2 linked regions of the Saccharomyces cerevisiae S288C genome follow. The gene in region 2 interacts genetically with the main gene of each other region. Each region holds a gene or a part of one and is shown on either strand. Other genes may lie near its edges.

The links.
Region 1: mutations in SWI4 (region 2) and MNN10 together harm fitness more than expected from each alone (negative genetic interaction), as found in Saccharomyces cerevisiae (4 studies listed by BioGRID).

The regions. Positions count from the first base shown.
Region 1 is NC_001136.10:950,812-954,481, reverse strand, and holds MNN10 (alpha-1,6-mannosyltransferase), read right to left. Parts: upstream 1,683-3,670; coding exon 501-1,682; downstream 1-500. Other genes in the region: TRAPP subunit TRS23, read right to left, coding at 1-194; PEX5 (Pex5p), read right to left, coding at 2,081-3,670. UniProt on the Saccharomyces cerevisiae protein: Required for polarized growth and efficient budding. The M-Pol II complex possesses alpha-1,6-mannosyltransferase activity and is probably involved in the elongation of the mannan backbone of N-linked glycans on cell wall and periplasmic proteins.
Region 2 is NC_001137.3:382,095-387,783, forward strand, and holds SWI4 (SBF complex DNA-binding subunit SWI4), read right to left. Parts: upstream 3,783-5,689; coding exon 501-3,782; downstream 1-500. Other genes in the region: karyopherin KAP123, read right to left, coding at 1-9; U6 snRNA complex subunit LSM4, read left to right, coding at 5,138-5,689. UniProt on the Saccharomyces cerevisiae protein: Part of a complex involved in cell-cycle-dependent transcription. SWI4 and SWI6 are required for formation of the cell-cycle box factor-DNA complex. The repeated element in the upstream region of HO (5'-CACGAAAA-3') is called the cell cycle box (CCB).

The DNA of each region.
Region 1 (3,670 bases), on a different chromosome or scaffold from region 2:
TTTTCGATGTTCGTTTGTTGAGTTAGCTGTAATGCCTTCGGAGTCAGCTGGCTCGCGATGGCGAATACACCGTGCAGTGTACTAGCAAGAATTAAGTATTCATTGCTGTTCAATTTCTGTTCGTCGTTGGTAAAATTCCGCTGATAGATTAGTCCGCCTGATTTGTTTATTACAAGTATTGTTTCGATGGCCATTTCAATTTTTCCCGTTTAAATCCAACACTAAAATTGCACTTTTGAACTTATGCAAAGGCAGATTCCTTTTTTTAGTTTCACTCTTTTTCTTCTCTTCGCACCGCCCAACTCCTGCCGAGGAGGCATAAACTCCAACATATGATGGAAAAATAAAAGAATGTGTAGCATATTATTGAAAGAATCTTCTATAGGCCTAAATGTACATAAATTATAAAACAACATTTTAAAGCAGAACCAGTAGTGGAAATTAAAAAGAAAAATAAAAGCTTGTAAATGCTTCTCTTTACAATATTGATAACTTCCATTTTATGGGAAGAAAAATCTCGTGTACCATTTCCTATTCAGTTTTTCCATTAAAGTGGTGTAGTACTGCATCTCGCCCCAGCAATCTCTGCCAAAATTGCATCCGGCCATATTCACAACAAAATCATGGTCTTTCTCACTGTAAAAGTATCTTGAGTCACCACTGTATTCAGAGCATGCTCCCGGTGGGAATGCATTGATCGTTCTTAAGGGCAAAAATCCTATTCTCGAACGAATCCACGGTTCGTTTTCATATAATGCCTCTAACGCATCTTGTTCTCTATGTTCCCAAACCATATGTTTTTGTTCATACAGAACGGGGTCCCACCACATATCTAGAAGCAGCTTAGACCATTCGCTATTTTTTATCAGAAATGAGCCCAAATTGAAGCCTCCACAATCTTGTGTTATTAGAAACTCCATTTCCTCTGAATAATCGACATAGGGTATGTCGTCTCTTAGGTTTAGGGGATTAAAACTTTTCAATTCTCTGTCAGCCAGAGTTTCCAATCTGTCGAAAATATGTTCTTCTAATGATTTAGAAGGCTCCATTATCATAGTATCCAGGTCCAACCACCAGAACCATTCTGCATTAGGAAACTCCCTGAACGTCTGTCTCAATATATCTACTTTTTGCCAACCCTCTCTGTATTCGTGAGAGTATCTTTTGGACGTTGTCAAATCCTTGATAGTCAACGCATATCCATGTCTCTTCGCATAGGCCTTCTTATTTTCTATTGATATGCCTTCGATAGCCCATTCTTGCTCATTTTTCCACCTCAATACACCACCACCTTCGTTTGCCGCTAATATAATGACAATCCTAGGATCTTGATTCCAAAACGACCATCTTGATCTCTTAGAATATGGTGGTACATATCTTTTGGAGTTGATGCTAGAACCAGTATTACTCAACTTATTATCGTTACTATTTTGGCCTTGAAAACTTGTGGTAGATGGATTTCTGCTTATGGTGGAATCGCTTATCCATATGAATAAAAACAAAGCTAAAGATATTAATAGTATTAGCTTTCTCCATCTCGCTAGCGAACTGCATAAAGTTTTCCTCCAGTATATCATTTTATATTTCAGGCCTAGTTTTGAGCCTCTGCTCTTCTTTTCATCTTCATCGTACTCTAGATGGTTGGATATAGGAAGTTGGGAATTATAAGGTACACTAGACATATTGTATAGTTGTACATGCACAATTATTCCTTATAAAAATAAATAGAGAGCTTTTCTCTCCCTGATAAACCTCCTTTGGCCTTCAATCCAAAAATTCAGGTGCGGAATCAAAGATAACTTTTAAACTTTATATTTAAACAATTTTTTCTGTTTTGTTTGTTATGTAACATCCACTTGAGAAGAGCGAAAAAACAAGAAAATAATCAAAGAGAAATGTCATTATGGACGACTGTAAATAGAGCAGCAATTATGACCTTTGAATGCATGTTTTCCAAGGTTGAAATCTTGCTGATAGTATTTATAAGATTTTTTATTGCCTTATATATAGGATAGCTTGTACTGCTAATGCTAATGAATTTGGGCAGTGATGCGAGAACATAAAATTGCGGAGAACCATATCAAAACGAAAATTCTCCTTTAAATCTTTTCAGGTCCATGCCTGGCTTCACTTCTTGAAGTAAATCATCTCTATTCATCGCTATAAAAACTCTCTTCAAAGTCTCTATAACAGTATCATTGTACGTATTCAAGAGAGATCCAACGTCTCCTTTTTTATTATTAGTGTTCACTTCATGCATACTTAGAACACTTAATAAGTAGCCTGCTGCTTCTTTGAAACAGCCTATATTCATGGATGATACCGCCAGATTATAGCGAGCTCTAACAAAAGAAGGTTTTAGTTGTAGTGCCCTATGATAGGCTTGGATTGCTTCCTCTGATCTATTGGAATTGGCCAATGAAGCCCCTAATCTATTCCACATGAGTTCGTCATTAGGATTCACCCTCAACGCACTTTCAAAGCAATCTATGGTTTTGTCAAAATCATCTTTCGTGTAAAATAAGAGACCCAAGCATAGTTGTATTTCAGGATCTATTGTGCTTAAATTGTTTGCTAGTTGCAAAAATTGCTTTGTGATATGAGCGTTCATATCAATATGGGTAAACCCTTTCTCTTTTTGAAATTTGTCATCTTGTTGCTTGATCCTTGACCAAATTTCCGGGTACTTAGTTTCTGCCCATTTATCCAGCATTGTGAAGGCGCTCATATCATAACCTTCGTTTATATAACTTATCGCTAAAGTTTTCATTGCCTCCAGATTCTTTGGGTCTAACTTTAAACATTCTTCGAGGGCGCTTATGCCGTTCAACTCTTTTTCATTCTGGGTTTGTACTAGACCCAATCTTAGCCATGCATCCACATGGTCCGGTTTTTCTTTAACAGCAGCTTCAAATGCTAGCGCTGCCTCGCTCAATTTGGCTCCGTTTTCCATCAGTAGGCAGCCAATTTTATAAGCATTAGGATTATTAAAATATTCGTTGTTAGATTGAAAAGCATACTCGATGTTCCCATTTACTCTACCGCCGAGATATTTCAAGTAGTCTTCTCCTAGATTGAGGTCATCATTAACTAATTCGGATGGCAAGACTTCTTCAGCGTCCTTGTGTATGCTATCCCACACTTCTTGGAAATCAGATTGATACTGATCTCCATATACTCCTTCTTCCTTCTCAACAGTTTCTGGTTTGTTTTGTTCTACTTCACTCACATTTTCCTCCTTCTCTATTTCATCATTTATGTCCAAGTTTTCTGAGACTTCTTTTTCCAGCTTTTCAAACTGATCTGTCCAGGGTTGTTGTTCTTGCTCATTGACTCCTTCTTTAGAACGACCAGACTGTTGTTGATTCATGAAAGCAGGCGATTGGAGCCTTGATCCACTAAGACTGTTCATAGAAGCATAAGCATAGTTATTCATCATGGTATTAGGGTACTGAAACCGGCTTGATGCGGTTGTTGAGCCACGCTGCCATGCCTTTTCTGAATTTCCTGTATCCGCGTTTCTATTTTGAATACTATTACTACCTTGAAATTCCTGTGACCAATGAGATATATCGTTCACTCCCTTAATTTGGGTTGGGTTTGCTGAAGTCTGTAGAGAATGTACGTTTGAAAAAGGTGGAAGCCTGCCTGAGGATGGCCCTATTTCCAT
Region 2 (5,689 bases):
TTGATCCATTATACTACTTGATACTAAAAAAGTGTTTTTCGTCCCTCAGTTTTTATGCTGCTAAGGCAGGATTTTGGTAATATACAGAAACGAGAAGAAGGATCCTTGCGGGGTCTTGCCTATTCTTTTTTGTTGACTAATAAAATCAATACCAAACCTGACAACAAATAAAATGAAGGATCTATGGATAAGTGGATGTTTCTATTTTTTTTTTTTTTTTTTTTTTTTTCGACCTCATCTCATCGCGCTTTCCATTCATCATATTGTACGAAAACAAAGCACAATCGTAATAAAAGACATCCTGATAATTAGCAAAGGGCTAACCATAATAGTCTAAGTTTAGTAGTTCAAATGTTTGTTGACATGCACTTGAAGCAACTCAAGCGCAATGAGAAAAGTGACTATACAAATATGTAAAAAATTGCTACCAAAAAAAAAAAAAAAAAATTTAAAAACTCTGATAATATAGTAAAAATTATTGGTACATTGTGAATTAAAATTTATGCGTTTGCCCTCAAATCCTTTTCTATATCGTCCAATTTTGAGTCAATGTTCTCAATTGTGATACCAATCAAGTTTCTGTATTTATCTAACTTCACCGATGAATTAATTTTGCTTTTAGCTTCGCTTATTTTCAATGTTGTCATCCTTCTTTTAAACTGTAGAATAGTTAGTTCCGTTGCTAGTCTCAACGTCTCATTTACATCATATGATTCTTGTACAGTATTAGAAAATTTGGCGTCCGCTTTGGTGTTTTTAGGAGAAGAAGTTTCCGACGTTGACTTTGGAATTGGCTCTTCATCTTCCTGTTTTTCTGGATGTGAACTTGAGTTAGTATTCATATCAACCTTTGATTCCTCATCCTGGACAATTGTAGCCAGTTTTAAAGCTTGAGATTTTTCCAAGCTTTGAATAAAATTTTGCTTTTCAGAATTCAACTTTGACGATGTTTCTTTAATCCTTGATTGTAAATCTGATATCGAATTTATGGGAGTTTTGTTTGATACGGAATCGAAAGCATCCTCTATTTGATGTGCTATTGTAATCAATCTCTTCTTATTGTTAGAAATAGAGGATTCGGTTTCTACTACTTCGTTGTCCAGATTTTTAATTTCTTCACCCATTATTCTTTGTAGAGAAGAAACTTTTGTATTTAATTTGTTGATCTGCTGCGAAAGCGGTTTTGAGTACTTTCCTAGTGGAGACATCTGTATCGGCAGAAGGGAAGAAGGCGATTCCAATGATGGCATGGCAGTTTTCACACTATTCAAGGGATCCTTTTTCTTTTCAACTTGATTCTCATTATCCTTTGCCTTTTCTTTTTCATCTGATATTGACTGTGATCTTCTTCTGTATAAAATGGGAGAGTTTTCAAGAATTTTGGACGGCGTAGACTTTATATCTTTAATGACAGACGACGTCACGAAAGAATTAATATTCGACAAGTCTTCCATAATAGTGTTCATATTTGTAGAATTTGGCTGGTTGGAATGCAGGTATTGACTTTCGTTGACTTCAGAATCTGTTTTAGCTATATTGACATCTGCAGTAGAATCTTCTTTATCAGGATGTTGAGTTTTTATAATTTTTGGAATTTTGACATTGTTTTGTGGTTGCTGTTGCTGTTGCTGTTGTTGGTAATAATTCTTTTGAGGAAGGTTTCGAGCTAACTTTCGATCTGCCTTGGTGTTGTTGTTTCTGCTGTTTGACCCGCCAGCCGGAGTATTAAACTTATTCATTATTGACGCAGGCGATTCGTTATCTAGATTCAATATATCTGTTGACGCACCAAGATATACCAGTCTGTTGTAAACCTCGAAGTTCAAGTTTAAAGCAGATAAATGCAGTGGAGTGTTCCCTATATTATCTTGGTAGTTCAAACATATCTTCAACAAATTGTAGTCCTGCTGACCCAAGCTCAATATTATCGAATCCATATAAGATTTTATTATCATTGGATTTTTGGACTTATTAACGCTCAATTCAATTAAATAATGAAATGGCAATCTTCCATTTACGTCGGGAGTTATAAGACATATTTTTAAGATGGATATTATTTCATCGAAAGCATTCTCCTTGTAGCAATTGTTGTAGAAAATTGATTTTGTGATGCAATTAAAACCGAGCTTATTACACTGTAATGCATTAGCATTTAAGGTAATTAGCATTTTTATCAAAGGAATATTCGCCATAGCTGTAGCCCAATGGAGTGGAGTGTGACCTTGATCATCAATTTCAAAATTTATGTTAAAATTTTTGGGCGCCGGATATAAAGTAGCCAACAACGCTTGATCTACATCAGAAGACCTTTCCGATGATAGTATTGTTAATATCGTCTGCTTGTATTCTTGATCTGTCATTTTGTTTTCCAACTTGTTTTGAGATGAAGTATTTCCTGCGCTGAACGGTGTCATAGATCGTGAAGACATATTCATACTGTTATCATTTTCATTTGATGAAAATACTTCAATGGAGGAGCCATTGGATGCTACAGTGTTGTTGTTATTGTTGCTGCCGTTACTGTCACAGTACTCATTATGGTGATCATTTGGATTTTGAAAGGATTGCCATAATAAGGGTTGCTTCATTAATTTGAAATGCCTTTGTATTTTTTCTTGCTGGTTGTAAAATTGTTGTTCATTAGATTGATTCAGCTTTTTCCTCCTTTTTTTACTATTGCCATTTGTAATGGAGTCCATCATGGAATGATTGAAGTTATTCGTCAAATATTCATGATGATGTTGTTGTTGTTGTTGGCTTTGCATAGGTCCGTCTGGAACTATGATCAAGTTATTATTATTGCCATTATTATTGTTATTACTGCTGTTAATGACATTGTCGATGTTATGGCTGTAACTATTACTGTCATTATTATTAGGGTTATTCAGAGCAACGTTCTTGTTTTGTAAATTTGTCGGAATTGGAAAAAATTGAAGAGGTTTCTGAGTTGCCGAATAATTATTATTGAAAGAGTTTTCATGAATGGATTTTTGTTGTTGAATAATAGTAGATTGATTGCTGTTGTTACTAATATTATTTATTAAATTGTGTCTTGTGTCATTGTTGAAATTCATCGTGGTGTGGTTATCATTATTGTTCATTATATTCATTGATGAATTTACTTGGAACTGTTGAGGAGTTTGGAAAACAAGGTTTTGTAAAGGACTTGGATTCGGCTGGTTGATCGATGCATTTTTCTTGCCTTTCTTATTCGCAGCTGTAGTTGTAGCCGATGTTGATGAACTACTGTTCTTTTTTCTTGGTGTTTTATTGTAGCTCGATGGAGAAGTTATCTTCGTTCCCGGCGAAGTCTTCCTCAATATACTATTTTTGCTTCTCTTTGGTGGAGGGTTATTTGGATCGAATTGAAAAGTTAAGATGGAGTTGACCACAGGGTCAATTATTTCGTACTTATTGACTAAAAACTTCGCTGAATCCAGTGGGATCCAAGTACCTTGAAACCTACCATACCCACCTTGAACTTTTTCATGTTGCATATCATTTGATTCCTTTTCCAGTATTTTAGTTCTTTTCGTCTTCGAAAATTGAGCTATTTTGAAAACCTGGGTAATATTAATCCAATCATCTTTAGTTCTTCTCATCACTATTTTAGTTTCAAACCCACGTATATAGCATTCGTATACATCGGTTTCTGAATACGTAGCTATTTCAATCACTGGATGGTTTGAATGAGGCGCCAAAAGAACTGATTTTGATATTGGCGTGATGTTCTGGTGATTGGTATTATCTTTTTGGTTTGATATCAAAACATCAAATGGCATGATTTCTCGAATAAATCAACCTTTTAGAACTACGCAAGAGGGACAGAAGGGAAATGAGAAAGAAAGAAGAGTTAATTTTCGGCAAAGAGCAATTATTGTTGACAATATATCAAATAACGTGAAATAATGTACCTTTTTTTCAAAGGGTAAGTGGAGGAAGAATCGTTTGAAAAAGCGACGACCAATGCTAGATGTGATTCTGCTGTAACAACAATTAATAGTAAAAATAACACAATACACTAAAGAGTTTCTTTTTTTATTATCTCGAAAAAAAAAAAAGCTTCCAGTTGAATTTAGCAGCAAATATTAGTCAATTAGTTGATATGCTAAACCAATGCTAAAGGATGGCAATAACTATAATATCTTTTGTGCGTTTTTCACGTTGACGTGCTTCTTAGTCCTTGTTCCTCTTTTTTTTTTGTTAGGTTAACCATTTATTTCCTAAACGGGAAATAAGCAGGCGGGGAGCTGAATATAATTAACTTTCGCGTCATGGTTAGTGACGCGTCACTTCAAACGCGGGTAACAAAATCAAGTTGTTTTTAGCCGCCGAAGGTAATTGTATCCATAATGAAGGCTAGATTAAACCAATAATTTGTAGTGACAAAATTTATAGTCAGTAGCAGGTTCTCTTTAAATTGAGAGATTTCGACAGCCTTTTACTAGATGTCTAGTTTAGTAAAACTAATTTTCGTATGCTGCTAAACGACCTAAGATCCGCAGTCACCTATCGTTTAAAGTACGCAGTCACAATGCGGTTGAAATGTAATGTACTTATATTACCTCCTTCTTAAGTAACATTTCATTTTTTCCGCCACCGTACACAGAGTAATTGCTTCGTTCGTTATCTACTTGTACTGAAGTCCCTCTAAACCTACTGCCTTTTATTTTTAGGCTCTAAAATAACCATGGACAACGTGAATTGGGTAGCATCTTTTTTTTAATAGATAGTTTATTATGTATAACAATAATTTAAAGATATTCATAGTGATAAGTAATTTTAAATGAGTTTAAAGTACTACTTTTCCTTTACCGCCAGTTTCCTGTACTATGAAAAAGGCAAATTCCGCATTGTAGCCGCCCACACGCATTTTGATCATCAATTACGAAATTTGCCGCACACGTGTCACGTGATAAGCACTCTTACTATCATGTTTTACGGAGTAGCAATGATGTTCAATTATTGCAGCTTTCTTTCGTGAAATCGTAGTATCATAGACCTTCCTAATGATGGAAGCGGTAAAGAAGGAAATCGTAAAAGTAAATTAACGAAGTAGTATTAGTAAAACAGAGTTGAAAAACTGATAAATCTTCAACTCGAACTGAAAAGAAACACAATAGAATATTTTTTCTCAATGCTACCTTTATATCTTTTAACAAATGCGAAGGGACAACAAATGCAAATAGAATTGAAAAACGGTGAAATTATACAAGGGATATTGACCAACGTAGATAACTGGATGAACCTTACTTTATCTAATGTAACCGAATATAGTGAAGAAAGCGCAATTAATTCAGAAGACAATGCTGAGAGCAGTAAAGCCGTAAAATTGAACGAAATTTATATTAGAGGGACTTTTATCAAGTTTATCAAATTGCAAGATAATATAATTGACAAGGTCAAGCAGCAAATTAACTCCAACAATAACTCTAATAGTAACGGCCCTGGGCATAAAAGATACTACAACAATAGGGATTCAAACAACAATAGAGGTAACTACAACAGAAGAAATAATAATAACGGCAACAGCAACCGCCGTCCATACTCTCAAAACCGTCAATACAACAACAGCAACAGCAGTAACATTAACAACAGTATCAACAGTATCAATAGCAACAACCAAAATATGAACAATGGTTTAGGTGGGTCCGTCCAACATCATTTTAACAGCTCTTCTCCACAAAAG